Linked DNA regions of Macaca mulatta. The protein of the gene in region 3 interacts with the protein of the main gene of each other region in a pairwise test. Links are inferred from orthologs where the notes say so. Each region holds a gene or a part of one and is shown on either strand. Other genes may lie near its edges.

Region 1 (6,594 bases), on a different chromosome or scaffold from region 3:
AGCAACTTTCCCTTTCTTATAGTCATCAATTTTTAGTTGAATGGAACCCCTCTTGACCAAAGTGACCCCAGAAAAACCTTAAAACTGAGTTCCTGGCCATGACAGGATGGGAGATCAGACACGCTTCATTATACCCCCGTCTCTTTTATGGTTTAGACACAACAACTGACCAGCATTAATGTCAAATTAAAGATCATAAGGCTGACGGAACAGACCCTTTGTGGCAATAACAAATTATTCATAAGACCTAAGGCCATGCCAGGCAAGTGTTATGTCATGAACGCCTACACTTAAAGAATAAACTACGTTCTAACTGCCACAGGTTTTTCTATTTATTTTTTGAGACGGAGTTCTGCCCGGCCAGTTTTTCCTTTTTGTTTAGCAGCTAAACAAGCACCAGCTGAGATAAGCAATTTTTTTTTTTTTTTTTGAGATGAAGTCTCGCTCTGTTGCCCAGGCTGGAGTGCATTGGCCCAATCTCGGCTCACTGCAAGCTCCGCCTCCCGGGTTCACACCATTCTCCTGGCTCAGCCTCCCGAGTAGCTGGGACTACAAGTGCCCGCCACCATGCCTGGCTAATTTTTTTTTTTTTTTTGCATTTTTTTAGTAGAGACGGGGTTTCACCGTGTTAGCCAGGATGGTCTCGATCTCCTGACCTCATGATCCACCCGTCTCGGCCTCCCAAAGTGCTGGGATTATAGGCGTGAGCCACCGCGCCCGGCCCAACCTGGCTAATTTTTAATAGAGATGGGGTTTCACTGTGTTAGCCAGGATGGTCTCGATCTCCTGACCTTGTGATCCACCTGCCTTGGCCTCCCAAAGTGCTGGGATTACAGGGGTTAGCCACCGTGCCCAGCCACTTTCTCTTGATAAGAAGACCACTGACTATGGGCTGGCTCTGGCCAGTTTACAGAGGCTAAGCACTCTTGTTCCTTCCTGTCCTGAACAGGCATTTTGACTTATAGGGCCTAATTGTCATGCATTTAAATGTTAAGTCTCCACCTTAGGCCTGGCACGGTGGCTCATGCCTGTAATCCCAGCACTTTGGGAGGCTGAGGTGGGTGAATCACTTGAGGTCAGGAGTTCGAGACCAGCCTGACCAACATGGCAAAACCCCGTCTCTACTAAAAATACAAAAATTAGCCAAGTGTGGTGGTGCACGCCTGTAATCCCAGCTACTCGGGAGGCTGAGGAAGGAGAATCATTTGAACCTGGGAGGCAGAGGTTGCAGTGAGCTGAGATGGCACCACTGCACTCCAGCTTGGGTGCAGAGCAAGACTGTCATGAAAAACAAAACAAAAAAAGAGTTAAGTCTGTACCTCAAAGTGAACATGGGTTGTATGTTACATGCATGTTTGTTCAATAAGCATGAGTCAGGATGACCTTCATGATTATTCATGACTCCTCCTGTAACCTGTTGAATATGTACGTTTAGCCAACCTGTTCAGCATCAAGTTCCTACCCCAACCCCTCCTCCTTTGAAGTGCCCGTCTCTAGTCTTTGCCAGAGATTGTACTTCCTGGCCTGTGGGATGGCCACCTTGCAGGCCTTTAACCCTTTATAAGAAATAAAGTCTCCTCTCCAAATTTCTGGATGTTGTGAGTTCTAAGTTAACAAAGTAAAGAGAAGGAATTTGGGAGACTGACAACTTTGCAAACCAGAGCCACGATAGAAGTTTGAACTTTTACTTAAGAGAGAAATAAATGTCATTCTTGCTTAAGCAACTTTTATAGTGGGTATATTAGTCGGGTTGACATATAAAATTAACCATCACTCTGGGTCTCGTTTACAGTAATAGAATTTTTTTATTTTTTTTATTTTTTGAGACAAGGTCTTACTCTGTTAACCATGCTGGAGTGCAGGGGTGTGATCATGGCTTACTGCAGCCTTGACCTCCTAGGCACAAATGATCCTCCCACTTCAGCCTCCTGAGTAGCTGGGACCACAGACACTGGCTAATTTTTAAATTTTTTGTAGGGACAGGGTCTTGCCATCTTGCCCAGACTGGTCTTGAACTCCTGGGCTCAGGTGATCCTCCCACCTTGGCCTCCCAAAGTGCTGAGATTACAGGCGTGAGCCATCATGCCTGGACACTGTTTTTAAATAGTGAAAAAAAGGACTTGAAGTACTATTTGTGAAGATTGAGACCTCTTGCTACATAGGATTTGGAATCACAGGCTTCTAGAGATGGAAGAGGTCTTAGGAATTCACATTTTAAAGAAGGAGGAACTGATACCCATAGGAGTTAAATGTCTTAGCTAAGGCTACCCAGTGCTCTGGTGAGGGACAAGGTTTCCACCTTCTAGGCCAGTACTCTTACCCCTAGGCAAAAGGTTCAAGAATGTGCAGGCGCCAAGCTTTAGTAAAATCAGCTATACTAAGCATTGTCAAATGTTTTAGCCAACAGCAAAAATAATCAAGATGAAACAAAATTACTTTTTTGATTAAGTGATCACCAGCATTTCATAGACATTTATTTGACAAAGGTTTTGATCCAACAAATGCCATGTACTGTCAAGGTGAGCAAGACAGAGTACTACCTACCCTGCGGTTGTTCACAACTTAGTGGAGGGGCAGACATGCAATCAAATATTAGAATACACTCTGTTAAAGCCACATGTACAAAGATCTAGAGTGCTATAGAAATGTGTAAAGCTAGGCCAGGCATGGTGTTGCTCACACCTGTAATCCTAGCACTTTGGGAGGCTGAGGTGGGAAGACAGTTTGAGCTCAGGAATTTGAGATAAGCCTGGGCAACATAGTGAGACCCTGTCAGAAAGAAAGAAGGGGAGAAAGAGAGAGAAAGAGAGAGAGAGAAAGAGGAGACAGAGAGAAAGAAAGGAAGAAAGATAGGAAGAGAGAAAGAAAAAAGAAAAAACAAAGAAAGGAAAGAGAAAAAGAAAGAAAAAAGGAAGAAAGAAAGGAAGAGAGAAAGAAAAAAGAGAATGGGAGAGAAAGAGAAAGAAAAAAAGAAAGGAAGAAAGAGAAAAAGGAAGGAAGGAAGGAAGGAAAGAAGGAAGGAAGGAAGGAAAGCTGTGTTTCTCAACTGAGGAATGATTCCAACCCTGACCCCAGGAGACATTTGGCAATGTCTGGAGACATTTTTGTTATGACTGGAGAGGAAGGGGGTGGCTACAGGCAACTAGTGTGTAAACGCCAGGGATACGGCTAAATATCCTAAAATTCACAGGACAGCCCCTCTGACTTAAAAGACTTAACAGGCCCAAAATATCAATAGGGCTGAGGTTGCTAACCTCTGGTATAGAGCCAGCAAAATATCTTCTAGAAGAGACAGGGAAGTGGGTAAAGCTTGGTTTGGGGATGAGGGAGTGGTTAGGGAAGAGTTTAGTAAAGAGATAAAGACGGGGGTGTAGGGGAAGGGAAACTCCCAGCCGAAGGGATAACATGTACAAAGCTGCAGAAGAGTGGCAATCCCAAACATCCGGGAAAGAGCTGTGGTCATTAAGGCTGGACTGCTAGGCAGGAGCCAGACGTGTAAGAAATCATATTGAGTTAGAGGAATTACTGTAAGAAAAACTGTTTGGCTCTATGGTGGCTCTTTATAAGTCACGCAGGAGCATAGTGCTGGGACATCTCTCTGTGGGCGAAAACTGCTGAAGAAAGCTGTATGAAAGAAAGCTCATCCTGCTTTCTTAGGGCCTGGTGTTTTCCAGGCCTGTGTTACTGTCTCAGAGACAAAGTCAGGGCTGCTTCACTGGAATATGAGAGGTGAACTAGCTCTCTATTAAAGCCACTCAGCGAGTGTCTTGATGGTGTGATGGGATCACGAACAGGGGTGAGGTGGTTATTTTCATGAGTTAGGCTTAATATAGGCTGCTGCTGACGTGTATTTCCTCTTTCATAGAGCATCCCTAGTCCAGAAATGGGGAGCTATGAACCTTAAGATTAGACTACCAGTTTGAATCTAAATGAGCTGCCCTCTTCTCCTACAAAAGAAAAGTTGGGCAGGTAGGGTATTGTAATGAGGGTTTCTCTTTCTCTTAAGCAAATGATGATCAAAGCAACTGACAAACTGTCACGGAATCTGCCAGACCTCACTCTGGCCTTGCTGCTTCTCTCCAGCTCCTGAACTTTTCTTCCTTTTGTCATGCTCTGAGCCCATTCCTTGAAAACTAACAGGTCCCTGACTTCTGGTCTGCAGACATCCTGGGCCTGCTGAGCTCTGATTCAAGTGCCTGCCTCTGCCCCTTGGTAGGCTGAAGCTTCATGGAGGTGAGTGATCCTTTTTTTACTTAGCAGGGCTTCTAGGAATAGTGTGGAAAACAGGATCATAGAAGAGGATATGGATTTGGGAGCACAAAAGGAAATTAATGAAGAGAAGTATTTAACTTGTGACAGCTGGTAGCTACTATACTCTCTCCAGGCCTTGGAATAACTGATAATTTAGACTAGAGAAGCTGGTAGGAAACTAATGAAATCCATCAAAACATTTTGAGAAAAATTAAATCACATACTATACAAAATTTGCCTTCATTATCAATGTAATCATTTTGTTTTAGATTTAAAAATTATTATGTATAACTTGGATTTCTTACAATACCTTCACATTTGATTATTTTGTATTTAAGGCAGAGTCGATACTCAGATAGTAAACATTTTTAATTGAATTCCTTCCTTTAAGACCTCTTCAGAGCTAAAACAAAGGAAGTTATATTCTTCTCAACTTAGTGTTTTCCTGATTGTTAGACAGACAAAAGAAAATGCTTATTTACTACATGAAAGCTTGAAAAACTCACTAAAATTCATCGACAAGAGATGTTGACACAGGGGCCCTTGAATCCTGAGTTATTATCCATTTCCACCAGTTTCCACTTCTTATAAAGTTTAATTTCATTATATTAATCATTAAGATCAGTTTCTAATTTCCTCTATCATAGGACCTTTAGGTTTGCTGTTACTCATCTCTGTCCTCAGCTATTGAAGCAAACAGGGCGATAAGCATTTTGTTTATAATTTCTAGGGGAAAAATAAACACTATTGCCTATACCTACTATATTCTTATTACTTTAAGGCCAAGTCAGTGAAAATAGACACTTTTCCATAATAGTAAAAAAAACCTGTTTGTGTGATAGTGAGCTTCCCATTACTTCAGACGTTCAGGCAGAGGTTGGAAAGGAGTGAATTAAATGGCTTAAAATTTCTTTCAACTCTGAGAAGCTCCGAGAAGTCGGAAAGTTCAGAATCTTTCCTTCTGATGTGAAAATGGCATGACTTGTGAAGCAGGAGTGTGTCTTGCTCTTAGGTTTGGGCTGGCTGTGCCATATCGTTTGTCTCTGTGGAGGAATTGTATTTTTTTGCTCTCAAAGTTAATTATTCATAAAATCTGCCCATCAAAGTTTAAAAATTACTTTGAAGGAATAAAGGTTGAAAAGCAAATGAACTCTCCTTAGATATCTTAACCATGATTTCAAAAGTTTACAACACAAAACTTCTCAGGAAAAAAATGTCTCTGGTAGAAATTAAGGATTTCTTATGCAAGCTTCCAAAGACTTCATAGCTCTAATCTTTGCCTTTTCTCTGCTCTTTGAGAATATACACAGTGAACCAAAGGAGGAAGAGATGTTCTTTCTTTGTTTTTTTTTTTAAAGACAGAGTCTCACTCTGTTGCCCAGGCTAGAGTGCAGTGGCACCATCTCAACTCACTGCAACCTCCGCCTCCAGGGTTCAAGTGATTCTCATGCCTCAGCCTCCCGAATAGCTGGGACTACAGGGGTACACCACCACTCCTGGCTAATTTTTTTTTTTTTTTTTTTTTTTTAGTAGCGATAGGGTCTCACCATGTTACCCAGGCTTGTCTTGAACTCCTGACCTCAGGTGATCCTCCTGCCTCGGCCTCCCACAGTGCTAAGATTACAGGCCTGGGCCATTGCGCCCTGCTGATGTGCTTTCTTATAAAGTGATTCCTGCCAGCTGCGGCTTTATAAGGATGAATATCAATTCCTGACTCGAGTTTCTCTCTCTCCGCCTTAAGGTTAGACTTCCCCTAAAAGGGGCTGGCAGTAGATGTGCTTCCTAAAAGATTTCCAGGTCCAGAAATTTTAGAATCTCCTTTGGTTTCCAATTCTATGTCTCCCTCTAGCGCAATAGGAAGTTATTGCAGATATTTTGCCTCACAAATTTGATCCATTTAATAAATTCAATTCCACAAAACATATTGATGGGCTTCCTGCTGACTCAATGGTTAATAGGCTTTGGGGTCAAATAAAGAGTTCAAATCTGGGACTCACTACTTAATAATTGTGACTCTGGCAAGATACTTTAAACAATCTAAGCTTCAGTTTCCTTAAATATGTGGTAATAATACCTATCTCATAGGTTGTTCTGAGATTAAATGAAATGATGTATGTAAAGCCTCTTCCACAGTGAGTGCTCAGCAAATATTAGCTAATATAATTAATCTCTTGTTTTACAGAAAAGGATATATTATTGAAAGCCAGGGCAATTGGCACACCTTCAGCTAGCAAGATGAATTAACCATATAAAAAATCAATCAATCATATAATATCAACAATTAATAACATGAAATATATTTTCATATCATAAAATTAACCCTTTTGAAGTTTACAATTCAGT
Region 2 (6,636 bases), on a different chromosome or scaffold from region 3:
TTGTTTCTGAGATAGAGTTTTGTTCTTGTTGCCCAGGCTGGAGTGCAGTGGCTTGATCTCAGCTCACTGCAACCTCCGTCTCCGGGGTTCAAGTGATTCTCCTGCCTCAGCCTCCTGAGTAGCTGGGATTACAGGTGACCACCATCACACCCAGCTAATTTTTTGTATTTTTAGTAGAGATGGGGTTTCACCATGTTGCCCAGGCTGGTCTCAAACTCCTGACCTCAGGTGATCCACCCGCCTTGGCCTCCCAAAGTGCTGGAATGACAGGCATGTGCCACAAACTCTGACCTACTTTTGTTTTTTTAATTTATATTTTAAATGCACATAGAAAAAAAAAAAAAAACTAAACAGTACCAAAAAGTACAATGCATACCGACATACTGAGCCACCAATCCACCCCAAATTCCCAGACCCACGCCTCAAAACTGTCACAGACATTTTCTGGTGGATCTTTGCAAAAAATTTCTATCTAGATCCTATTTTTTAATACAAATAGAACTATATGTATACAGCATTCTGTGCTTAATAACCCTTGACAATCTTTCCATATCAGCACATAGTCTGACTTTTTTTTTTTTTTTTTTTTTTTGAGACGGAGTCTCACTCTGTTGCCTAGGCTGGAGTGCAGTGGCGCAATCCCGGATCACTGCAAGCTCCACCTCCTGGGTTCACGCCATTCTCCTGCCTCAGCCTCCCGAGTAGCTGGGACTACAGGCGCCCGCCACCACGCCCGTCTAATTTTTTGTATTTTTTAGTAGAGACGGGGTTTCACCGTGTTAGCCAGGATGGTCTCAATCTTCTGACCTCACCATCCACCCGCCTCGGCCTCCCAAAGTGCTGGGATTACAGGCGTGAGCCACCGCGCCCGGCCGACTTAATTCTTTTTAAAGACGGCAGAGATTGCAGACCCCAAAATACATCTAACCATTGGGGCAGATTTCATTACGACCATCCTTAATCCACTGTACTTGTCCTGCAAGGTCCAACCTGGTATTGCACCGGACCTCACAGAACGCTGCTGTTTCCTGATCTTTTCTAGTGAGGCAGCTTTATTTCTTCACATAGGAGACCTCCCTGCTAAGCGAAGTCGAACAGGTGGATCTAGAGGTTGACCACCACGGTCAGGAAAGCAGCTGTCTACTGAAAAGCAAACTCTAATTCCTTAAGATTAACGAGTTAATCTTTAAGATTAATTAATCTTAACGAATTAATCCTTAAGATTAACCCCTGCACCACCAAGTGGGGGAGTACAGCCCCCTCTCTCCGCCTCATGGATTCAGCTCGGAGGTGCAGGGGTTTGGTGGGGGGCGGTTAGGGAATGACAGCTGCCCCGTGGAGGACGCCCAGGGCTGGGTCACGAGCTGGCATGAGTCAGTCTTATTTTGTAAGTCCTAGTTATCAGGCTGCCAGTCTCGCGCCGTGCCCAGTCTCACTCAGCCTTCAGTCTTCCGGCCGGGACCCCGCTGGGCGCTCCGGAGGGATCGGCGCCACCGCGAGGCCGGCGAGGAGGCTGCAAGGGGCGCCCGGCCGGCCTGCGAAAGTGGTGGGAGCCAGGAGGGGCACACAGCCTCCCCTCCCCAGGCGGGACTCTCCCCGCCCCCCGGGCTCAGGGCTTGGGGTGGTGAGATGGGTGGCTGGGTGATCCGACGCCGCCAGCCCACCGCGTCCCCAAGAGCCGGGGTCTCGGGCTCAGCTAAACTCCCCGGAGTCACACAAGCGCCCCATACACGTCTGCTGAGTGAACGAAGGCTGCCCATCCACCAGGGGACTGCTCGGCCCTCCCACGCCATGTCCAGGTCGCATTCGGCCAGCGGGACTTCCCTTAACGCTCGGCCGGGGTCCCCAGGCTCGCGCCCCTGACAGCAGCCAAACTGTTTATTTCCGTCCGGCTGAAGAGGCGGGGTGGAGATGGCACAAGCCGATTGGTTATGTAAATTGTGGAGCCAATTTCGGCCTATGAGCCAGGAGACTACAAGTTCCAGAATGCATCCTTCCTCCAGCACAGGGAGAGGCCGAGGCTGCGGGAGCGTTGCCTGCTGGGAATTGTAGTCTTCATCTTGTTTGTTACGCAGGTGGAACTGGGGGGAGGGAGTAAACTATTACCACGTGACGTTCGGGTCAGGTGGTTGGGCCAGCCTCCGCGCTCGAGCTGTGACTGGCTGACTCTAATAAGAAGACGCCACTAGGGGCGGGGCGAAGAGGGGCGCAAGCTCACTGCGTTTTGAGTCTCGGGACCCCTGTCGGAGAGACTATGGCGCTCAACAAGAATCACTCGGAGGGCGGCGGAGTGATCGTCAACAACACCGAGAGGTGAAAACACTGCGGAAGGATCCTAGAGGACCAAAGTTCGGGTGTCGAGGGAGTGGGGGGTGGGCGATGGGCGGTGGGGAATAAGCCCCTGAAGGGGGAGCATTGATGGAGTATGGTTGGGGGGGAATGGCTGGGGGCGGGGTTGGAGGAAGGTGGGTGGGCCGTGGGGGAGGGCCCGGGAGGTTGTGATCAGCTGGGAGGTGGGAGTGGGACGTCTGCTTGGGGACCTGGCATGGGGCGACCGGTGGGGCCTAGGGGTGATTCTTGAACCCGTTCCCAGAGTTTTGACTTCAGTAACTGGGAGGAGCCCCAAACAAAAATAATTGTCACTTATTGGATGTCTACAACGTTACTACGTGTCAGGCTCTGCGCCTTTTCTACCTTATTTAATAAATTCTGTGCAGTACAATCTACTACTGTCCACGTTTCACAGGTAGGGAAAGTGGGGGGCAGAAAGGTTAAGTAACTTGCTCGAGATTGCAACTCTGTAAGTAACAGAGATGGAATTCCAGGAAAGGAGTCTTGACTCCAAAGTTAATAGGATTAACCACCAGCATACAGGCTTCCAGTATGTTCCAGAACTGTTCAGGTTCCAGGTAAGAAACTGAGGTCCCAGGAGTGAAATTAAACAGATGACGTTTGTCAGATGTCTCACAGTTCCTGGCACTGTGTGGATCCGTAAAGTCATTCCCTTGCCTCTCTCTTGAATGCCTGTTGGTTTGAGTCTCCTCCGAAGGCACAGGTCTCCTAATTCAAGGTTCTTTCCACTCCACCCTCCCCACCCCTTGCTCATTGCATCCTGTCTCTCCTCCAGTCTCTGCCAAGAGAAGCCCTGAATGGCCTCTCTCTCCTTTTGTTCCGTGGGTATTGAAAATCAGACCAGCCAGCTCTGGGTTGAACTATGCCGACCCTGAATTGCCTCTTGAAGGCAGAAGGAGCTTAGGAGGCACCTGAGTCCCCAAAGGAGACATTGTGGAGTCAGAGCCCTGTACCCAGCTAAGGCCAGCATCCAGTTGCCCTGTGACTTGGGAATGTTATGATGAGTCAGAGGAAAATGCCTAGAGTGACCCAGCAGGCTCACTTTCCCTCTATCTTACCTACTCAGAGTCTGATGGGTAATTCCTTCTTTTCTCTGAGTGGTACTTCTCTTTTTTTTTTGAGATGGAGGCTTGCTCTGTCACCCAGGCTGGAGTGCAGTGGCACGATCTCAGTTCACTGCAGTTCACGATCTCAGTTCACTCAGTTCACCGCCTCCTGGGTTCAAGCAATTATCCTGCCTCAGCCTCCCCGGTAACTGGGATTACAGGCACTTGCCACTACACCCAGCTAATTTTTTGTATTTTTACTAGAAACAGGAGTTCACCATGTTGGCCAGGCTGGTCTCGAACTCCTGACCTCGTGATCCGCCCTCCTTGGCCTCCAAAAGTATTGGGATTACAGGAATGAGTCACCGTGCCCGACCACTTCTCTTTTCTTAGACCAGTTGTTTCCCACTTACCTTTCCCCAGTCTGAGAAAGTTGTGATATCTGGGGGGAGGCAGAAGACAAACAGAACCGTGTGAACCTTTTTATCATGTGATCAGAGACACCTCACATTGTCTTGTTGCATCTCTGTGTGTGAGTCAGTTCCCAGGCCTGGCCAGCTTTTCATGCCATTTGGCAACATCTCTGGGGACTGTTTTTCTTTCTGTCTCTGTGGAACTTCCTGAGACAAGAATGTATCTATCCTGCTGGGCCTTCTACCTGGCTTAGGGCTCAGGCCTGCTAAGTAAGGTGTGCCTTGTTTTAGAAAGTGCTTCAGCCTCCTGTCTGAATAAGTTGTGTCTGTAACAATTGAAGTATAAGTCCAGTGTTCAAAATTTGATAATTAGGCTGAGCATGGTGGCTCATGCCTGTAATCCTAGCACTTTGGGTGGCCGAGGTAGGTAGATCACTTGAGGTCAGGAGTTTGAAACCCACCTGACCAACATGGTGAAACCCCGTCTCTACTAAATACAAAAAATCAGCCGGGCGTGGTGACGCATGCCTGTAACCCCAGCTATGTGGGAGGCTGAGGCAGGAGAATTGCTTGAACCCAGGAGGTAGAGGTTGCAGTAAGCCGAGATCATGCCGCAGCACTCCAGCCTGGGCAACAAGAGTGAAACTCCGTCTCATAAAAAAGAAAAAAAAAATGATAATTAAACTAGTGAACGTTACTCTTCAAGTCCTGAACTCCTTTGAGAATGATGGAAGCTGTGGACTCTCCGCTCAGAAAAATGCACATATGACGTACATGATCATCTCAAGGGCTTCATGGACTTTCCTGCAAACCCAGCTGAAGAACCCAGGTTTGAAAGAACCTTGAAGGAGGTCCTATTGTGATCTGTACAGTCATCTCTTAGATATGTTTATATGTTAGGGTTGAAAAACAAACCAGCAAAAACAGAGCATCTGTCAAAAGGACTTAAAAGAGAATAGAAAAGTTAAGCCAGATCACCTCACCTACTTGAGGGATGGCGGCCTCTCTAGAGCCCTGTAACTCTGCTACCACGTTGATCATTTGGGGGCTGTGTAAGCGGGGTTTGGGAAATTTTACAGAACCCCAACGTGCTCGTTTCTTCCATGGCTGCATTAATGGGGTTTTTTCTTGGTGGTGGTGGTGGTTTTTAGTTTTTTTGTAGAGACGGGGTCTCGCCACGTTACCCAGGCTGGTCTCAAACTCCTGGGCTCAAGCGATCCACCAGCCTCAGCCTCCCAAAGTGCTTGGATTACAGGTGTGGGCCACCGCTCCTAGCCCTATGAATGGCTTTATTAATTTATTTGTTTTTGAGACAGAGCTTCTCTCTCTCTCTCTTTTTTTTTTGAGATGGAGTTTCGCTCTTGTTGCCCAGGCTGGAGTGCAATGGCACGATCTCGGCTCACCGCAACCTCTGCCTCCCGGGTTCAAGCGATTCTCCTGCCTCGGCCTCCCTAATAGCTGGGATTACAGACGCCCACCACCACGCCCAGCTAATTTTGTACTTTTTTAGTAGAGACAGGGTTTCTCCATGTTGGTCAGGCTGGTCTTGAACTCCTGACCTCAGGTGATCCGCCCGCTTCAGCCTCTCAAAGTGCTGGGATTACAGGCATGAGCCACCGTGCCCGGCTGGAGCTTCTCTCTTGTTGCCCAGGCTGGAGTGCAATGGTGCCATCTTGGCTCACTGCAACTTCCGCCTCCTGGGTTCAAGCAATTCTCCCTCCTCAGCCTCCTGAGTAGCTGGGATTATGGGGGCCCGCCACGACTAATGTTTTGGTATTTTTAGTAGAGATGGGGTTTCACCGTGTTGGCCAGGCTGTTCTCAAACTCTTGACCTTGTGATCCACCTGCCTCGGCCTCCCAAAGTGCTGGGATACAGGTGTGAGCCACCGTGCCCGGCCCTATGAATGGTTTTAATGCAGTACTGTTGAGAGGTTATGAGAGCTGATGTGCCGGGCAGCTGCTTGGGAGAAAGGCCCAGTGTCTGGGTGACATCGCATCTCCATACTGTCTCATCAAGGCTTTTCCTCTTTTCTCATCACAGCATCCTAATGTCCTATGATCATGTGGAACTCACATTCAATGACATGAAGAACGTGCCAGAAGCCTTCAAAGGGACCAAGAAAGGCACCGTCTACCTTACCCCTTACCGGGTGAGTTGCCCAGCAGGACAGTTGGTTGAGAGGCTTGTTGCTGTTGGAGGTGACGTGAGTCTTAGTCTCGGGTCCGCCTCAGCCTCATGAGTCAAGTGGCCTCTGAACCCTGGTGAATGTTAGTGCCTCACTCTGCCTGTTTCTCCGTCACATGCTCCTGGATTCCAGAACCACCAGGCTCTTTGTGTAACTGACCTGACCACTGGGCAGTGAACCCATGTAAATTCCAGAGCCGCTGCTGCAAAACCTCTATAGAGTTGGATGCAGCGCTGGCATGACTTGGGCCTGGAGGCCAGAGACTATTATTATTAACATTTTGTTTTCTGTGAGAGTAGCCCATGAAGCCCTGTGCACATCCAGGGTGAGAAATCTGGTAAACAGGGCACAGTTGCGTGGCACAGCCTCTGGACTGGGCAGAGAGCCCAGTACTACCCCGCAGAATGACAAATGCCAGGCTGCAGAATGGGCCTTGCCTGAGAGTTACCCACGTGGACTCTGAGAGGTTGAGAAATACAAATGGATGTTGTTGGAAAATTGCTGCTTGTAGCCACTTAAGGCTTAGACTTAAAGACAGGCTGGTGCAGTGGCTTATGCCTGTAATCCCAGCACTTTGGGAGGCCAAGGCAGGTGGACCACTTGAGCTCAGGATTTCGAGACCAGCCTGTGTAACATGGC
Region 3 (5,537 bases):
AATCGAGGGCATGGTCCTGAGGGGATAATTGAGATTGACTGAGGAGAGCAGGCCCAAGCTCTGTGACGAGGCAAGGTGAGACTCTGATGAAGGAATGAGGAGGCCCCCACTCCAGATAGAGGACCCCAAACAATCGAGCTCAGCCCCTCCTGCCAGCCCTGGACCACCCGGGGGAAGACTCAGGCTAGGCCGTCCCAGCTCCCACTGCCACTAAAGCCACAGGGGACTCGAGTCACAGCTTGGTGTGCCCAAGGCAGGGCCCAGGCTCTGCCTGGCATCAGAATCAGGACCCTGAGAGGGAATTGAGGGACCTACATTCCCACCCCTTCCACATTCCAGCATCCCCCCACCATCCAGATCCTCAACCCCATCCCCAATTCCGTTTTGCAGAATCCATTTTTTCCCCTGCAGTCAACCGACGGAAGACCTGGGAATGATCAGGCACTCGGATCTTGATATCCACATCCAGGGCTGAAGGAGGGAAGGGACTTGGTATCATGAGCAGAGCCTCAGGGTAGCAGAGGGAGGACCCTGGCTCTCCTGGGAGACGAGGAAGGACTCAGGAGACCCAGCATCCCAAGGCAGGGAGCCCACCCCACCCCGTCTGAGAATGAGGTGCCTCCTCTTTTAGCCTCGGGAATCCAAGGGATGGTGACTCAGGTCAGCAGAGGGGTGGGTTCCAGCCCTTCCAGGATCAAGGAAAGGAAGACGAGGGAGGACTCAGGGGTCCTTGCATTCCAGATCAGTGGAGACCTGGGCCCTGGGAGGTCCTGAGCAAGGTAGCCACATGTAGCTCATGCTTCCTGCACCTTCAAGGTCACAGAGAGGAGAGGGCTATGGTCTGAGGATACCTGTGGCTCAGAAAGACGGGACCCCGCAGAGTCTGGCTGTCCCCTGTTCTTAGCTCGGGGGGACCAGAGCAGGGATGGCCTTATGTGCCAATCTTACTTGTACCATAGGCAGGAAGTTGGAGAACCTTCAGGAAGATGAGGTCTTGGAGTAAAGGGGCAATATCTGCTCATCTCAGGGGGTTGGGGGTTGAGGAAGGGCAGGCCCCGTTGGGAGCAAACATGAGTGACCCACAGGAGGCCATCAGAACCCTCACCCCAGGACCAAAGGGGTCAGCTGTGGACTCCCCGCACAGGGGTGACAGGATGTGGCTCCTCATTTCTGATTGCAGATCTCAGTGAGGTTAGGACCTTGTTCTCAGAGGGTTACTCAGGTCAACACAGACCTCTATCTGGTCAACAGACACAGTGGTCCCAGGATCTGCCAAGAGTCCTGGTGAGGAATGTGAGGGAAGATTGAGGGTACCACAGGGCCAGAACGCAGACGATGACTCCACAGAAATCAGCCTTGCTCCGGTTGTCACCCCAGAGAGCATGGGCTTGGCTGTCTGCTGAGGTCCCTCTCTTGTCCTGGGATCACTGATGTCACGGAGGGGGAGGCCTTGGTCTGAGGGGCTGCACCCAGGTCAGTAGAGGGAAGGTCCCAGGCTCTGCCAGGAGTTGAGGTGAGGACCAAGCAGGCTCCTCACCCAGGACACATGGGTTCCAATGAATTTTGACATCTCTTGCTGTCATTCTTCAGAGGACCTAGGCACATGTGGCCAGATGTGGGGCCCCTCATGTCCTGTTTCCTCTCAGGCATGTGAGTGCTTGATCTGAATTTCTCAGGCCAGCAAAACGGTGGAATCCAGGCCCTGCCTGGAGAAATGTGAGGGCCCTGAGTGACCACAGAGTGGACCATCCACTCTATGAGAGTGGGGACCTCACAGAGTCCAGCCTGCCCTCTTGATAGCACTGAGGGACTGGGGCTGTGCTTATAGTCGGCACCCTAAGGGCCCATGGATTCATCTCCTAGGAGCTCCAGGAACAAGGCAATGAGGCCTTGGTCTGAGACTTGTGTCCTCAAGTCACAGAGCAGAGGGTGCACAGGCTGTGCCAGCAGTGAATGTTTGCCCTGAATGCACACCAAGGGCCCCACTTGGCATAGGACACGTGGAACTTCAGAGAGTCTGACCTCACCTCCTGTTAGTCCTGCAGAATCGACCTCTGCTGGCCGGCTATACCCTGAGGTGCTCTCTCACTTCCTCCTTTAGGTTCTCAGGGGATAGGCCAACCCGGAGGACAGGATTCCTTGGAGATCACAGAGGAGCACCAAGGAGAAGATCTGTAAGTAAGCCTTTGTTAGAGCCTCCAAGATTCGGTTCTCAGCTGAGGCCTCTCACATGCTCCCTCTCTCCCCAGGCCTGTGGGTCCCCACTGCCCAGCTTTTGCCTACACTCCCACCTGCTGCCCTGACCAGAGTCATCATGTCTCTTGAGCAGAAGAGTCAGCACTGCAAGCCTGAGGAAGGCGTTGAGGCCCAAGAAGAGGCCCTGGGCCTAGTGGGTGCGCAGGCTCCTGCTACTGAGGAGAAGGAGGCTGCTGCCTCCTCCTCCTCTCCTCTGGTCCCTGGCACCCTGGAGGAAGTGCCTGCTGCTGGGTCAACAGGTCCTCCCCAGAGTCCTCAGGGAGCCTCCGCCTTACCCTCTACCGTCAACTTCACTTGCTGGAGGCAACCCAATGAGGGTTCCAGCAGCCAAGAAGAGGAGGGGCCAAGCACCTCTCCTGACCCAGAGTCCTTGTTCCGAGAAGCACTCAGTAAGAAGGTGGATGAGTTGGTTCATTTTCTGCTCCTCAAGTATCGAGCCAAGGAGCTGGTCACAAAGGCAGAAATGCTGGAGAGAGTCATCAAAAATTACAAGCACTGCTTTCCTGTGATCTTCGGCAAAGCCTCTGAGTCCCTGAAGATGATCTTTGGCATTGATGTGAAGGAAGTGGACCCCACCAGCAACACCTACACCCTTGTCACCTGCCTGGGCCTCTCCTACGATGGCCTGCTGGGTGGTAATCATATCTTTCCCAAGACAGGCCTCTTGATAATCGTCCTGGGCACTATCGCAATGGAGGGCGACTCTGCATCTGAGGAGGAAATCTGGGAGGAGCTGAGTGTGATGGATGTGTATGATGGGAGGGAGCACAGTGTCTATGGGGAGCCCAGGAAACTGCTCACCCAAGAGTGGGTGCAGGAGAACTACCTGGAGTACCGGAAGGTACCCGGCAGTGATCCTGCACGCTACGAGTTCCTGTGGGGTCCAAGGGCCCTGGCTGAAACCAGCTATGTGAAGGTCCTGGAGCATGTGGTCAGGGTCAATGCAAGAGTTCGCATTTCCTACCCATCCCTTCGTGAAGCAGCTTTGAGAGAGGAGGAAGAGGGAGTCTGAGCATGAGTTGCAGCCAGGGCCTGGGGCGGGGGTGGGGGGGTGGCGGCTGGGCTGGGCCAGTCATCTGCCCTGTGCAGCAGCTTCCCCTGCCTTGTGTAGCATGAGGCCCATTCTTCACTGTTTGAAGAGAGTAGTCAGCATTCTTAGTAGTGAGTTTCTGTTTTATTGGGTGACTTGGAGATTTATCTCTGTTTCCTTTTAGAATTGTTCAAATGTTCCTTTTAATGGATGGTTGAATGAACTTCAGCATCCAAGTTTATGAGTCGTAGTCACATATATTGCTGTTTATATAGTTTAGGTGTAAGAGTCTTGTTTTTTATTCAGATTGGGAAATCCATTCTATTTTGTAAATTGGGACATAATAACAGCAGTGGAGTAAGTATTTATTTAGAAATGTGAATTCACCGTAAGATATGTGAGATAAAGAAATTAAAAAATACTTAATTCCTGCCTTATACATACTCAGTCTACTCTGTAAAATTTAAAAAATATATACGCATACTTGGATTTCCTTGGCTTCTTCGTGAATGTAAGAAAAATTAAATCTGAATAAATAATTATCTGTGTTCACTGGCTCATTTCTTCTCTATGCACTGAGCATCTGCTCTGTGGAAGACCCAGGATTAGTAGTGGAGATACTAGGGTAAGCCAGACACACACCTACCCATAGGGTATTAGAATCTAGGAGCTGCAGTCATATAATTAAGGTGGCAAGATGTCCTCTAAGATGTAGAGGAAAAGTAAGAGGAGTGTGGGTATGGGGCTCCAGGTGAGAGTGGTCGAGTGTAAATTCCCTGTGTGGGGCCTTTTGGGCTTTGGGAAACTGCATTTTCTTCTGAGGGATCTGATTGTAATGAAGCCTGGTGGGTCAAGGGCCAGATCCTCAGAGGGAGAGGGAAAAGCCCAGATTGGAAAAGTGCTCTGAGCAGTTCCTTTTTGACAGTGGATGAACAGAGAAGCCTCTACCTGGGGCGGGAATGGAAGGTGTCTTGTGAACACAGTGCATGAGCTAGGTGATGGGCACCCATTATTTGCAAGGGTTTCCTGTGAGATAAACTTGTGTCTCCCCAAAAGGGAGACCCAGAAGCCACTGGCCAGGTGCTTTTCTACCTGGCTGGGAGAACCAGAACTGACTATTAAAAAGGCATTCTAACTAGGTTATCTTAAGTGCAATGTGACCAATTGTAAGCAGGGGCTAGATTTTGGGTGGTAACAATGAAAATAGTGGTATGGATGGAAAAGCAGCTGGGAGCGAGGGAAGCAGTTGGTCTTTGACTCAAATTCTAGGAGCTTTGAGCTGCATCTGGCTGGGGAAATCTCCCACACACCCAAATTTTGAGGCACATTCTCTAAGTGATAATTCTTACTGAATTTTATGGATGAAACTTCCTTATTTGGCTAATGATTCCATGCCCTATTGAGTTGGATATTCTCTGATCAGTCTTGAAGAACAATGACAACAAAATCCCAGAATGCTAGGGTCTGGGGTCAAACAATATCAGAAATACCAGCTATCTGCCATTCCTTAAACTTCTAATTTAATTCCAGGCCCTGAGCCAGGTGCTTCACCTACATTGCACACACTCCAATAGTCCTACTAGACAGGGCTTATCACATCTGCTTAAAAGAGAAGAATTCAAGGCTCACAGGGCTTGTGAATTGGGACATAATAACAGAGTATTTCCTGGATATCCCCAGGATCATGTGGCTAGTAAGGAACAGGGCTGGAACCAGACCCCTGCTCTGAATTTCTTTAGAGCCCATGCTGTCCCCATTCCCCCCAGCCTGAGGTTGACCTCCCAACTGGTACTTCATTTCTCTTCTCAGCACTGCACCATGTCTCTCAGGTGACAAAAATAAGGACCTTGAGGCCAACATTACTAAAAGCAGGCTTGGCAATGAGAATCAAACCCCATTTATGGGGCTGGTTTGTGCTGGGTTCTTTGAGAGCTGAGTCTGCCCAGGTGTGGGCATTTCTGTCCAGTCCCAGCACTTTCTGAAACTACAGCGCATTTCCTCTGGTCACTTCCATGTGTCCTGTCTGACTCTGGAAACTTACCTGCTGACCACTTTGCCACTGGTCCCCACAGAACAGCCCCAAATCACCTGCTCACCTCTTGACAGGGAGCATTCCTTCTCCCTGTAGAAGTCCTCTGGCTGTCCCATCTCTCACCCAGGAAGCCATGTGATATAAGCAACCTTTTTGATATAAAATTTACATAGGGACAGTGACTTTTAGACAACTGGGTGTCACTCTGGTTACCTTCAA
Region 4 (5,918 bases), on a different chromosome or scaffold from region 3:
GTGCCCAGGCTGGAGCTCAATGGCACGATCTCGGCTCACGGCAACCTCTGCCTCCGGGGTTCAAGTGATTATCCTGCCGCAGCCTCCCGAGTAGCTGGGATACAGGCGCCTGTCACCATGCCTGGCTAATTTTTGTATGTTTAGTAGATACGGGGTTTCACTATGTTGACCAGGCTGGTCTTGAACTTCTGACCTCAGGTGATCCACCCGCCTCGGCCTCCCAAAGTGCTGGGATTACAGGCGTGAGCCACCGCGCCTGGCCACTGTTATTACTTTTTGAGGCCGGGCGCGGTGGCTCAAGCCTGTAATCCCAGCACTTTGGGAGGCCGAGGCGGGCGGATCACAAGGTCAGGAGATCGAGACCACAGTGAAACCCCGTCTCTACTAAAAAATACAAAAAAAAATTAGCCGGGCGCGGTGGCGGGCGCCTGTAGTCCCAGCTACTCAGGAGGCTGAGGCAGGAGAATGGCGGGAACCCGGGAGGCGGAGCTTGCAGTGAGCTGAGATCGCGCCACTGCACTCCAGCCTGGGCAACAGCGTGAGACTCCGTCTCAAAAAAAAAAAAAAAAAAAAAAAAAAAACTTTTTGAGAAAGGGTCTCACATATCACCCAGGCTGGTGTGCAGTGGCCTGATCACGGCTCACTGCAGCCTCCACCTCCCAGGCTCAAGCAATCCTCCTACCTTGGCCTTCTGAGTAGCAAGGACTACAGGTACACAGCAGCATGCCCAACTAATTTGTTTCTGTTTTTGTTTTTGGTAGAGACAGGGTTTTGCCATGTTGCCCAGGCTAAAGCCGAGGTTTCTGAGAACCTATTGATGGTGTTAAGTGAGGACTTGCTGTATTAGGGGAAAAAAGATGCTGTGGAAGTTATTTTTGTTCTTTTGTTTGTTTGTTTTTTGTTTTTTGAGACCGAGTTTCGCTCTTGTTGCCCAGGCTGGAGTGCAATGGCACGATCTCAGCTCACCACAACCTCCGCCTCCCAGATTCAAGCAATTCTTTTGCCTCAGCCTCCCGAGTAGCTGGGATTGCAGGCATATGCCACCACACCCGGCTAATTTTGTCGGAAGTTCTTTCTGTACTGAAGCAAATAATACATAACCTTTTATGAAAAACAAAACCAGGCCAGGCACGGTGGATCACACCTGTTATCCCAGCACTTTGGGAGGCTGAGGCGGGTGGGTCACTTGAGGCAAAAGTTCGAGACCAGCATGGTCAACATGGTAAAACCCCATCTCTACTAAAAATACAAAAATTAGCTGGGCGTGGTGGCAGGCACCTGTAATCCCAGCTACTTGGGAGGCTGAGGCACGAGAATCGTTTGAATCCAGGAGGCAGAGGTTGTAGTGAGCCGAGAATGCACCACTGCACTCCAGCCTGGGTGACAGAGTGAGACTCCATCTCAAAAAGAAAGACAAACCTAGCTGGGAGAGAGGAGATACGGATGCATACACAATGGTGTGCCTGGATTCGGGGTATCAGAAGAGGGACTTCACTACCAGCAGTGGGCTCTGGGGACTCTGGGAGGGACCTGTACCACCTGGGCTTCCGATGGGGGGTGGCGCAGGCACAGGAAGCTACAGGTTGGGGCAGGAGCACACGGGGCGCCACTCACCGAAAGAATGGCTTCCTTGATGCGGGCGTCCCGCTGGTCCTTCCTCAGGGTGGCCCCAGTGAGCGGACAGGTGAAGTACACACCAGGCACGGCCAGGTGGGCAGAGCCTTCCTCTCTGGGCTCAGATACCTGGGGCGGTGAAAGTGTCCGAGTCTGGACTGTGGACAGAAGCCACCCCGAGCCTCGCCGAGCACCACAGTCCTGAGTGTGGCCCGCAGAACCAGACATCTCTAGCCCCCATGCTGTCCCTTCCACTTGGTGGCCATGGGAGACACCCTGGCCAAGTGACTGGATCCCTCAGCCTGTTCCCTGGTATGTCAAATGTCCCTGTGGGGCCTATTCAGAACTAAACAAGGTAAGGAAAGGAAAGCACGGAGCAGCTTCTGACACGCAGGAAGCACTCAGCAGACGGCAGCTGGGCTCCTGCTGGTCCTGTCCCCAAGCTGGTGAGGAAGGAGCTCTGTGTGGGAGTCCGTGGGCACAGTGCCCTGGACAAGGCCTGACTTTTGGGCCTCCGTTTCTAGGCCATCTCTAAGGTCCCTGCGTGCTAAAATTCACTGAATCCTCGAGGATCAAGCTGCTTAGAACTCCTTTCAGCAGAGCTCTCAAGGCCCACCTCCTACAGGAAGGCCTCCCTGATTCCACCCGTCTCCACGGAGCCCCTTGACCTCCAAGCCAGGCAGGAGCAGGCAGTGGTAGGGGACAGGCTCTGAAGCCACAGACTAGCCAGTCCTGTCTTTGCTGGTTCTGGGGGAATAGGAGAGAGGACAGCTGGTTTGACCTCTCTCAACCCCGGTTCTCTTTCTGAAAAGTGAGAACTGTAACTGCATCCACCTTAACGGGTTAAGGGGAAGGAGCGATGGGCTTATGTACCTGAGGCCCACTTCTCCAGGCCTGAGCCAGCATCCTCAGCTGCCGAGCCCCGAAGGTCCGGACAACACCATGTTCCACCACAACCCGCCTCCACCTTGCAGGGCAAGGTTTCCTAACCACCCTGGAGCCCCAAGGGCAGTGGCCACATCTCCCCCATGAAGAAGTCAAGCTGTCCCCACCCCTCAGCGTGGGACAGTGCCACCAGTGGCTGTTCTTACCACGTTGGTCCCTGGGGCCTCGGGGCTCCCGCTGACGGTGGCTTCGGCTTGAAGTTCCTTTCTCACTGGAAGGCAGCCCAAGAAGGAGAAGCAGAGCCAGGGTGGTGAGCACGCCTCTGTCCTGGCCCGAGCCCCCTCATTCCTGGGGTGGGCCCGTGAGCCATGCACAACACCCCAGCCTGCTGCTGCTGGAGGTCAGGCTGGAGGTCCCCTGCAGGACTCGCTCTGCACCCACCCCTCAGCCTGAGCCAGCACCCCACTGCCTGCGCAGTCCCTGTTTCTGCTCCAAGTCTCTGCTCCCACCCGCTCCCCAGGAAGCTGCCCTTCCCCCAGCACCTGCCCTTGGTGAGTCGCTCCCAAGGGTGACCCTCACACCCCCACAGCTGCTTCCAGGCCCTGGACTTCTGCGTCCAGGGCCAGGCACTAAGGCTGGGAACCTCAAACAGCCCCGACCTGGGCCCGGGGCGGGCCACATCTCACCCTGGTTTCGGATGCTGTCCTGCGACGTGGGGCCCCAGGCCCGGGACTGCTTCTGCTCCAGCCGGGCCAGGGCGGCAGCGGCCGCCATCTGTGCCTCATTGGTGGGTCCCTGGCGGGGCGGCCTCGGGGCCGGCTGGCTGGACTTCTGTTTGGGGGCCTTTTCCCTGGGGACAGACCGAGGGAGAGCGAGTGTATCCTCCTGAGGTGGCCGGCAAACCTGACGTGCGGTCACACAGGGGAGCTTCTGCTGCTCCCCAGCTCCTGCCACCAGCACCACCAGTCAGACGTGTCCCTGCCTATGCGGGCCAGGACGCCTGCTTCCCAGGGGCCACCCGCAGCCACCAGATGGTTCTTCTGCAAGCGGAAGAGCCCCTGGAGGAAGGAGATGCTGGTTCCGCTCAGTTCTGCACCACAGGGCAAGTCCTGCCCCACTGGGCCTCAGCATCCTCGTTTGTAAAATGGGGTGGCAGCACCCCTCCCGAGGCGAAGGCACCTTGATATCCTCAGGGCCTTTTTTTTTTTCTTTTTGAGACAGGGTCTTGCTCTGTCACCCATGCTGGAGTACAATGGCACGATCACGGCTCACTGCAACCCTGAGTTCCCAGGCTCAAGGAATCCTCCCGCCTCAGCCTCCCGAGTAGCTGGGACTTGGAGGCAAGCATCATCACGCATGGCTAATTTTTCTTTTTTTTTTTTTTGAGACGGAGTCTCGCTCTGTCGCCCAGGCTGGAGTGCAGTGGCCGCATCTCAGCTCACTGCAAGCTCCGCCTCCCGGGTCTACGCCATTCTCCTGCCTCAGCCTCCCGAGTAGCTGGGACTACAGGCGCCCACCACCTCACCCGGCTAGTTTTTTGTATTTTTTAGTAGAGACGGGGTTTCACCGTATTTAGCCAGGCTGGTCTCGATCTCCTGACCTTGTGATACGCCCGTCTCGGCCTCCCAAAGTGCTGGGATTACAGGCTTGAGCCACCGCGCCCGGCCACGCATGACTAATTTTTCTATCGAGACAGGGTCTCGCTGTGTAGCTCAGGCTGGTCTCGAACTCTTGGCCTCAAATGATCCTCCCACCAGGGCCTCCCAAACTGCTGGGACTACAGGCATGAGCCACAGCACCCAGCCCACATCCTCAGGAATTGAGGAGACTCAAGGGATGCCACATCCTCCCCCACTCCCTGCTGTGAGAGTCTCCACCCTCAGGTCACAGCTTCGTTTGCTGAGCACCTACTGTGTGCTGGGCCCCTGCTGGGAGCCGGTCGGCTTGGTTGGTTGACTCCTCCTAACAAGCTGCCAGGGAGGCCTCACCATCCCGTTCCCAAACCCAAGAGGGTCAGGAAGTCCGGGCAATGTGCCCCATGCCACACCACCCTTGTGGCAGGACCCTGGGGTCAGCGGACAGCAGAACCAGCCTCGCCCTGGCCACTCCATGCCAGGCCCGGGGCTGTGCAAGTACCAAGAGCTCATGGACTCGCGGTTCCGCCCTGTTGAGCCCTACACCAAGGAGGGTTCCATAATCCACTTGGCACAGTGGCCTGGCAGAGAAGCCCTTTCTGCCAACCTGCTCGGACGCGTCTGTCTCGCCTGTGTCCTCTCGGGCCCCTCCCGTGAATCCAGGGACTGTGTCACTTTCCATGTCGTAAGTCTCTTAAAACTTCCTGGAGGCCAGGCTCTCAGTTCAAGCCCTGTACTCCTCTGGCTCTGCTTAGATACTCGGGCAGCCCTCCCTCCTCGTCTCGAGGCTTAGCTTCGTGCCCACCCCTGCCTATCTAGTCCTCCCACAGCGCAGCATCTTGGGTGGAAGAGGAGATGACTCATGAAGACCCATCCCAGCCCCATCCGATATCTAGGTCTTTCCAACAAAATGGCATTTCCCAGGGCACCTCACCCCAACCGGTCATGGACCCTGCCCGCCCTGGGCAGCCACAGGGACCCTTCTGCAACCTCAGCCAGGGAGCGTCAGCATCACTCCACTGCACGACGCCCCCCCACCACGAAATCCTAAAGCCTCCCTCGGCCGGAGAGCCCTTCCCGGCCTGGCCCACTGCCCTCCCCTGGCCTGGCTCCCCTGGGCTCCCCGCGGTTCTTCCCATACCCCAGCTGCTCCCCGCCGCAAGGCCCTGCACTGTCTGCGCCTTCTGCCCACAGTGTTCTCCTGCGGGGAGGGAGGAGGACAGGGGATCTGGAAAGGGCTAGAGCTGCCACAGGGAGAGAAGGAGGGGGCTGATTTCCCCACGGCTGAGTCTCTCTGTGTCCTGGGAGAGGCCTTCCCAAACCACCTGATGGCGTCTGCTCACCCTCCTTCAAGGCCCTGGGCACCGCCTGAGCCCTCCTCTGAGGTCTGTTGGTTTATTTGTCCATCAGCTCCCTCTAGAAGTTGAGCCCTGGGACAGCAGAGGCCTTCTCCTGTCCACCACTGCAGCCTAAAACAGGACTTGGTGCCCACACGCCCCACACACCCTGGATATCCAGTCTCGCTCCAGAGGGGACCTCCGCACCACTTCCCTTCCCGAGTCTCCCCTCTGACCTTCCCCTCTCCGCCAGGCTCTGGGCTGACCCAGCCATCACCCTGATGCCCTGCATCCTTCCTGTCACGCCCAGTCCTAACCCCACCCACTACTGGTTGAATCAATGAAGGGCTCCCCCCATTTGTCCACTTCTCTCCCTGACCCCCCTCCCTCTCTCACTCAGCCTTTGCTCTCCTGCTCTCCCCTAGGAACCCTGAATTCCTCGCTATGC
Region 5 (6,405 bases), on a different chromosome or scaffold from region 3:
TCTGGAGTGTTACCAGTCTATGGAAAAGGAAAGGAATGTGAAGAATTGCTCTTAAAGAGTTATCACATTTTTCTTGGCTAAAGTATCACATGGCCATGCCTAACTTTGAGGGCAGAGAAAGGCAATCCCTAATCCTGTGCTGGGAGGAAAGAAAACCAAAATTAGTTTTTGAATCAACATTAATGACTACCAGCAAACATTCAGTCTCTAGCTTAATTCCTTAGGAGCTGGATTTTGTGACAATTTTGGGTTTCTGATTTTTTGATATGTCTTTTCTTGTCACCTTCACCTGTAACCAGCAAGTAAAACGTAAAGGGTAGAAGGGAGGAGAGTTTATTGAGTACCTACCCTCTGCAGGGCAATGTGCCAATGTACATATGTATTGCATTTCTTCACATCTTTCAGACTTCACTTTGGCTAGTGTAAGATAGAAGAGATCATTCATCAGCTTTAGTGCTGCATACAGGACTGACTAATAGAAGAATTGTAGCAGCATGGAGATAAAAGAAAAAGGAAAATCAATAGAATCTTAGAACTGGAATGTGACTAAGATCATTAAATCTAACCTTTTGAACTTACGACGAGACAAGGTTCTATTCTATATTGTCCCAGCTCTGAGCTTAAAACTGAGGGGAAAAAAGATATCACCGAGTAATGGTAGAAGTTCACCAGTAACTATCAGTCATGCCAGTTCCCCCCAATTGTTTTCTGTCTCTAGATGTTTATGCCTAAGACTTCACATGTTGGGGCTGAGACCTTAATAGTTAGCAAATCTATATACTTTTGTCTTTAAATTATGTGCAAATTCTGCAATACATCTTAGATTTAATCTTTAAAAACCTTTTCTTCTGGGCGTGATGGCTCACACCTGTAATCCAGTATTTTGGGAGGCCGACGTGGGTGCATCACTTGAGGTCAAGAGTTTGATACCAGCCTGGCCAACACGGTGAAACCCTGTCTCTACTAAAAATACAAAAATTAGCGAGCATGGTGGCATGTACACCTGTAGTCTCAGCTACTCAGGAGGCTGAGGCACGAATCGTTTGAACCCTGGAGGCAGAAGTTGCAGTGAGCCAAGATTGTGCCATTCAGCCTGGGTGATAGAGGCTGAACAACAAAAAAAGAGGTGACCAAAAAAAAAAAAAAAAAAAAAAACCAACCAACCAACCAAACGAAAAACCCAAAACCTTTCTGACCTAACCTTCCACTAAAATAGCTAGATGTAGATCTTCAGCTGGAGAAACCCAAGGCCTGAAAGGCTTGGTGTCTTTCCTGGATTAGTAGTGTAGCATATGGCCCTAGAATTAAGGAGCCCTAAGTTTGCGTCTGGATTTTCAGATTCTGGAAGAAGAACCTGGACTCTTCTAGTCATGTCCTCTTGGACAAGTTATTCAACCTTTCTGAGCTTCAGCTTTCTCCTATCTACAATGAGATAATGACAGTACTTTTAGAATTAAATGACAGTGTAGGGGAGTGAGAGATCACGCCTTTGCTCTTATGTGGGCTCTTTGGTTGGATCTAGGAACCAAATTGACACAAGGCAGATTAACAAGAGAAAAGCATACTAATTTTACTAGTTTTACATGTTTTACATGTGCATGGGGATCCTCACAAGAGAGTGAAGTGGCCAATGTAAGATGCCTTTATACTTTTTACACGAACTACAAATCAGAAGAAAGGGGATCTGGCTAGGGGCAGTGAATTTCTTGCGGAGTCATTAGGAGAAACGTGGGTGTGGTGGGGTGTAAACTTAGTGGAAGATAAGGGTTATTTCGGAAAGTATATTCAGGTCCAAAGCAGCTCCCAGTTTCCAGTCTCTGGTGATGGGTGCTATTTTCTCCCTCTGGTAAGGGACGGGTACTCCGGAGGAATCCTGGAGGAAACTTTACGGCTTGCTGCATGCAGGAAGAGATGGGTCATCAAACCCTTTCTGAAACTACAATTTCTCCAACATTTTCAACTCCAAATAATCAGTGTACCAATTCCATATATTTTTGGGATGGCGCATCCATCAGTCCTTCAATAGAAAATAAAACGATGCCCTTAAAACATTTAGCTTCCTGCCTGGCACAAAGAGCTGAATTCATACTGCCCACGCTCTCATAGCTATTAACAGCAAGTAACAGAACCCAGCTTTAAGCCTCGGTCTCCTAATTCCTGACCTGTGTTCTTCCCATCACATCACAACCAATACTTCTTGGAATGTAGCACGCAAAACGCCCCGCCTACTCCATTGGCCTCACCCTGGCCGAGAAGTGCACACGCAAGAGCTCAACGACAGCCGTCAGAACTGCGCCTGCGCAAGCGGCGTTTCTCGGTTCGCGATGTGGCGTAACGCGCCTGCGGACTGGGCCCAGCGTGTCCTCTATGACTTACCCAGAAGGCAACGTTTCATTTTCTGGTCAAAATGGCTGGCAAGCAGGCGGGTAAGTGACTGGGGAGTCTTCTTGGCGGGCATCGTCGCGCTCCACCGTTTATTTTCGCTGCAGCTCACTCCGTTTTCTCTCTTCTTTGTAAGTCACCAAGTTTGTCGCGGAAGGGAAAGTGGCGGCTTCAGTCCAGCCAAAAGGACGTGCTTCCCCACTCGTTTGTTGTTCCCAGGCCGGGCTTGCCTATATAGGGTTGGGGTGTTAACCCGCTGTTTGTGAAGGTGCCCGCGGTGGCTCTAACAGCCCTGGAGTTCCAGCTGCCTGTGCTCGGAAGTCCTTCCCCTCGGCCTTAGAAAAGTTAAAGGTCACAAGAAGATAACTAGTGGATGACTTTCAACCAGAATGAGCTCAGTGCTTTCTTCTATGACCCAGGTGCTCTATCGTGTGCATTGGCCCTATAAATTCTCCTGCCAGTGCCACGAGGGAGATATTAATTTCCCGTTTACGCTGATAAGACAACTGAGGCAAAGTGACCCAAGGAAGTAGAATTGGAAATTTCATTGCACCCCTCGCGCTTCTCAAACTGTGAATCAGAGACAGTCTAGCAAGGGATACGAGCGACGCTTCACATTAACCTTGGATTATCTAGAACGTCAGCTTGATCAGTAGGTTTGGAGAAATTTGAATTTATTGTAGGTTCAAACAAATTTATTGTGGAATAGAATGCAGATATTACTGGAATATTTAAAACAACTTGAACATTAAGTTGGGTTTCCTTGTTTTTTTGTTTTGTTTTTTTTTTTGCTAATCTCTGCCCTCTGGCGGTACAAGTTGGAGTATCTTTTTTTTTTTTTTTTTTTTTTTTCTTTTGAGAAGGAGTCTTGCTTTGTCGCCCAGGCTGGAGTGCAGTGGCACAATCTCGTCTCACTGCAATGCAACCAAGTTGGAGTAGCTTTTAAAAAATATTGATCCTTTTCTCCCTGACCCCAGCAATTGTGAAGCTGTTAGGAAACATCAGGTTGCCAGAAACATCCGCTAACCTAATTGACATTGAGCTTTTTGGGGGTGGGGGAGACTTTTTAAATAATTATTTTATTAATTTAGCAGATATTGAAGGAGTCTTACTAAATTCAAGACACTGATTCTGTGCGTGTTTGGGATCTACATAGACCAGATCTCAACTCCCATTAGCTAACTGACCTTGGGTGGGATCACTTCTGTAAGTCTGCTTCCCTTGCTGTAGTAAGAGGCATGTAAATAAATCAGCTAATGTTGGTAAAGCAAATAGGAAAGTGTTTGGTGCACAATAAGTGTTTAGTGAATATTATTCTAGTCACTGATAGGTGGTTAAAAATAATCTGTCTTCCACAAGTATGTTTGTAGATTGTTGACTGATACTTGTTTTTCTGGCAGCAGTTTTATACATGACTTCATTTCCAAGGAGATGTGCTGAAGCCACGTAATCTGTAGTGCACTGAGTTTGCAGGCAAGGAGGGCTGAGTGAAAGGAGAGTTTGCTTTCCTTCCTTGGTAAGGGGCTAACGCTAGACAAAATTTTAAAAGAAAATGTAAACTTGTTCTACCTCCCCTTTTGTAAAACGTCTCTCCTAAAATGTCAGGTACGGTCCTGCTGTACTTGGACCCTGCTGGGTTACTTCATCAGACTCAGCCCTGTTCCCCAAAGAATTTTATTTATTTATTTTTTTTTTTTGTTTGTTTGTTTGTTTTTGAGACGGAGTCTGGCTCTGTCCCCCAGGCTGGAGTGCAGTGGCCGGATCTCAGCTCACTGCAAGCCCCGCCTCCCGGGTTCACGCCATTCTCCTGCCTCAGCCTCCCGAGTAGCTGGGACTACAGGCGCCCGCCACCTCGCCCGGCTAATTTTTTTTGTATTTTAGTAGAGACAGGGTTTCACTGTGTTAGCCAGGATGGTCTCGATCTCCTGAACTCGTGATCCGCCCGTCTCGGCCTCCCAAAGTGCTGGGATTACAGGCTTGAGCCACCGCGCCCGGCAAGAATTTTAAAATTACCCATTTCTCATCCGTTTTCAATACCTATTCCCTTGGGGGGAACTTAGTTGCTTAGGAGGAGGTAAATGGACTTCTTTTACTAATCCATATTAATGTTTAAATGACTAATGGTATCAAAATCCTCCCCAAAATACATATATTTTTAAAGAATGTAGCCAAATGAAATAACTGTAATGTCGAGTAAAATTTTTACAGGATGAGGGTCATTTAGACCTGCCAGCCTATGCTGAAATCTCACTCTCTTTTCATACAACTCCAGCTCCTTTGAAATGAAAAGTTTACAATTATTTCCTGTGATCTATTTATGAAACTACAAATGATAGAAATTTCCAAGTCCTTTTCCTATCTCTCACCCCTTCATTTCTGAAGGTAACAGGGCAGGCATAAGGGCACACGATGTACCTATGGATCTTTTGTACATTCAATGTTTGAGTTTACCCTCTTCTTCCATGACTTGCCACCATTTTCCTGCAGCCACTTTTGCTCATAAATAAAATAAGCAATTTTTATCAACAGTTTATAAACTTTTTTCTTTTAAATCTAATTCTTTTTTGATTAAATTCTTGCTGTATATAGTATATACTTTTAAAAGGAAATTTCTTTCTATGTTTGCATTCATCAGCAAGATAACTGAGTACTGGTTGCTTGCCCATCAGTGTGTTCATATAGTATAATTGTAGCAACTAACAGTGTGACAATGATCAGTTTCAGCATCAGGCAAGTGGCTGGATGGTATTCGAAAATGGTATTACAATGCTGCAGGATTCAATAAACTGGGTAAGCATCTGTGCTTTTTAATTTTTCTTTTTTTTCTGAGAGTATTGCTTTTACAAGTGTTACTGTGGTTCCAAAAAATATTTCAGTTCTTGTATACATCAGAAGATGTTAAAATTAAATCACATTATGTTAAATCCAGTTCCTTTTTAAAATTTTTTTGAGAGGAGAGGGATGAAAGCCTCTAAAATGTTTGACTTGGTAATGATTTAAGTAGTAAGACATTTTCCTTCTACACCCCTTCTCCCAACTCTACCACTTAAAATTTTATTTATTTATTTGGGACAGAGTCTTGCTCTGTCACCAGGCTGGAGTGCAGTGGCGCAATCTCAGTTCACTGCAACCTCCGCCTCCCGGGCTCAAGTGATTCTCCTGCCTCAGCCTCCTGAGTAGGTGGGATTACAGGCGTGTGCCACCATGCCTGGCTAATTTTTTTTGTATGTAGTAGAGACAGGGTTTCACCATGTTAGGCTGGTGGCGAGCTCCTGACCTCAGGTGATCCACCTGCCTCTGCCTTCCAAAGTGCTGGGATTACAGGTATGCGCCAGTGCGCCCAGCATTCCACTTAAAATTTTAAGTTTTATAAACACTGAAAGTAGAGATTTTTCAAATATTAAAATTTTATCATATCCATGCGATCATATGTTTCCTAAGCTTTTTTAGAACTTTGTAATTTGCCATGAACTTCATCTTTTGCTATTGAAGCTTGAAGAAAGTGTAAGCAAAAGTCACTGGTTCCTTAGTATACTATTATTTTAAGATTCATTAATACCTTGATCTCAGATTTAAACTATGAGAAAGTAGAGATGTGGTTTATTAATGTGTGTTTAAAAACAAAGTAAACATTTAAAATATTTTGTAAATGGTTTAGATAAAATATGAATTTTGTGGCATTGGATTTTAAGAGGCTCATATATTGTTTCCATAGTCTAGTTCAAGAAATAACCCATTATGTCAAGTAATAACTCATTACTTTTAATGGCAAAACCGCAATTACTTTTGCACCAACCTAATGTATGAAGTGCATTGAATTTCCATTGAACCTAGTGATTTGAATTCGATAGTTCACCAAAAGTTGTAAGTTATAAGTCATAAAGATATTTTACTAATTTTAAAAAAACGTGATCTTTGAGATGCATGTGCTATCTAACTTTGTCGTCTGTCATAGGGTTATTGCGAGATGATACAATGTACGAGGATGAAGACGTAAAAGAAGCCATAAGAAGGCTTCCTGAG

What was found.
Region 1: the proteins of MAGEA4 (region 3) and TRIM69 interact in binary tests that used the Homo sapiens proteins (3 or more experiments, as listed by UniProt). The two-hybrid records come from large-scale screens. The link is inferred for Macaca mulatta from reciprocal best matches to the Homo sapiens genes MAGEA4 and TRIM69.
Region 2: the proteins of MAGEA4 (region 3) and WBP2 interact in a two-hybrid assay, tested with the Homo sapiens proteins (2 studies listed by BioGRID). The two-hybrid records come from large-scale screens. The link is inferred for Macaca mulatta from reciprocal best matches to the Homo sapiens genes MAGEA4 and WBP2.
Region 4: the proteins of MAGEA4 (region 3) and UBXN6 interact in binary tests that used the Homo sapiens proteins (3 or more experiments, as listed by UniProt). The two-hybrid records come from large-scale screens. The link is inferred for Macaca mulatta from reciprocal best matches to the Homo sapiens genes MAGEA4 and UBXN6.
Region 5: the proteins of MAGEA4 (region 3) and UQCRB interact in binary tests that used the Homo sapiens proteins (3 or more experiments, as listed by UniProt). The two-hybrid records come from large-scale screens. The link is inferred for Macaca mulatta from reciprocal best matches to the Homo sapiens genes MAGEA4 and UQCRB.

Annotation. Positions count from the first base shown.
Region 1 is NC_133412.1:22,144,461-22,151,054, forward strand, and holds the start of TRIM69 (E3 ubiquitin-protein ligase TRIM69), read left to right. Parts: upstream 1-2,985; 5' UTR 2,986-4,227; coding exon 4,228-4,233; intron 4,234-6,594.
Region 2 is NC_133421.1:85,564,084-85,570,719, reverse strand, and holds the start of WBP2 (WW domain-binding protein 2), read left to right. Parts: upstream 1-2,205; 5' UTR 2,206-2,254; coding exon 2,255-2,313; intron 2,314-2,530; exon of another isoform or gene 2,531-2,883; coding exon of another isoform or gene 2,884-2,909; intron 2,910-5,852; coding exon 5,853-5,961; intron 5,962-6,636. UniProt on the Homo sapiens protein: Acts as a transcriptional coactivator of estrogen and progesterone receptors (ESR1 and PGR) upon hormone activation. In presence of estrogen, binds to ESR1-responsive promoters. Synergizes with YAP1 to enhance PGR activity.
Region 3 is NC_133426.1:158,171,965-158,177,501, forward strand, and holds the end of MAGEA4 (melanoma-associated antigen 4), read left to right. Parts: intron 1-2,101; 5' UTR 2,102-2,174; intron 2,175-2,249; 5' UTR 2,250-2,314; coding exon 2,315-3,268; 3' UTR 3,269-3,419; downstream 3,420-5,537. UniProt on the Homo sapiens protein: Regulates cell proliferation through the inhibition of cell cycle arrest at the G1 phase. Also negatively regulates p53-mediated apoptosis.
Region 4 is NC_133424.1:5,284,501-5,290,418, forward strand, and holds part of UBXN6 (UBX domain-containing protein 6), read right to left. Parts: intron 3,350-5,918; coding exon 3,186-3,349; intron 2,771-3,185; coding exon 2,706-2,770; intron 1,744-2,705; coding exon 1,615-1,743; coding exon of another isoform or gene 1,540-1,614; intron 1-1,539. UniProt on the Homo sapiens protein: May negatively regulate the ATPase activity of VCP, an ATP-driven segregase that associates with different cofactors to control a wide variety of cellular processes.
Region 5 is NC_133413.1:106,634,694-106,641,098, reverse strand, and holds the start of UQCRB (cytochrome b-c1 complex subunit 7), read left to right. Parts: upstream 1-2,400; 5' UTR 2,401-2,407; coding exon 2,408-2,426; intron 2,427-5,100; coding exon 5,101-5,172; intron 5,173-6,337; coding exon 6,338-6,405. UniProt on the Homo sapiens protein: Component of the ubiquinol-cytochrome c oxidoreductase, a multisubunit transmembrane complex that is part of the mitochondrial electron transport chain which drives oxidative phosphorylation.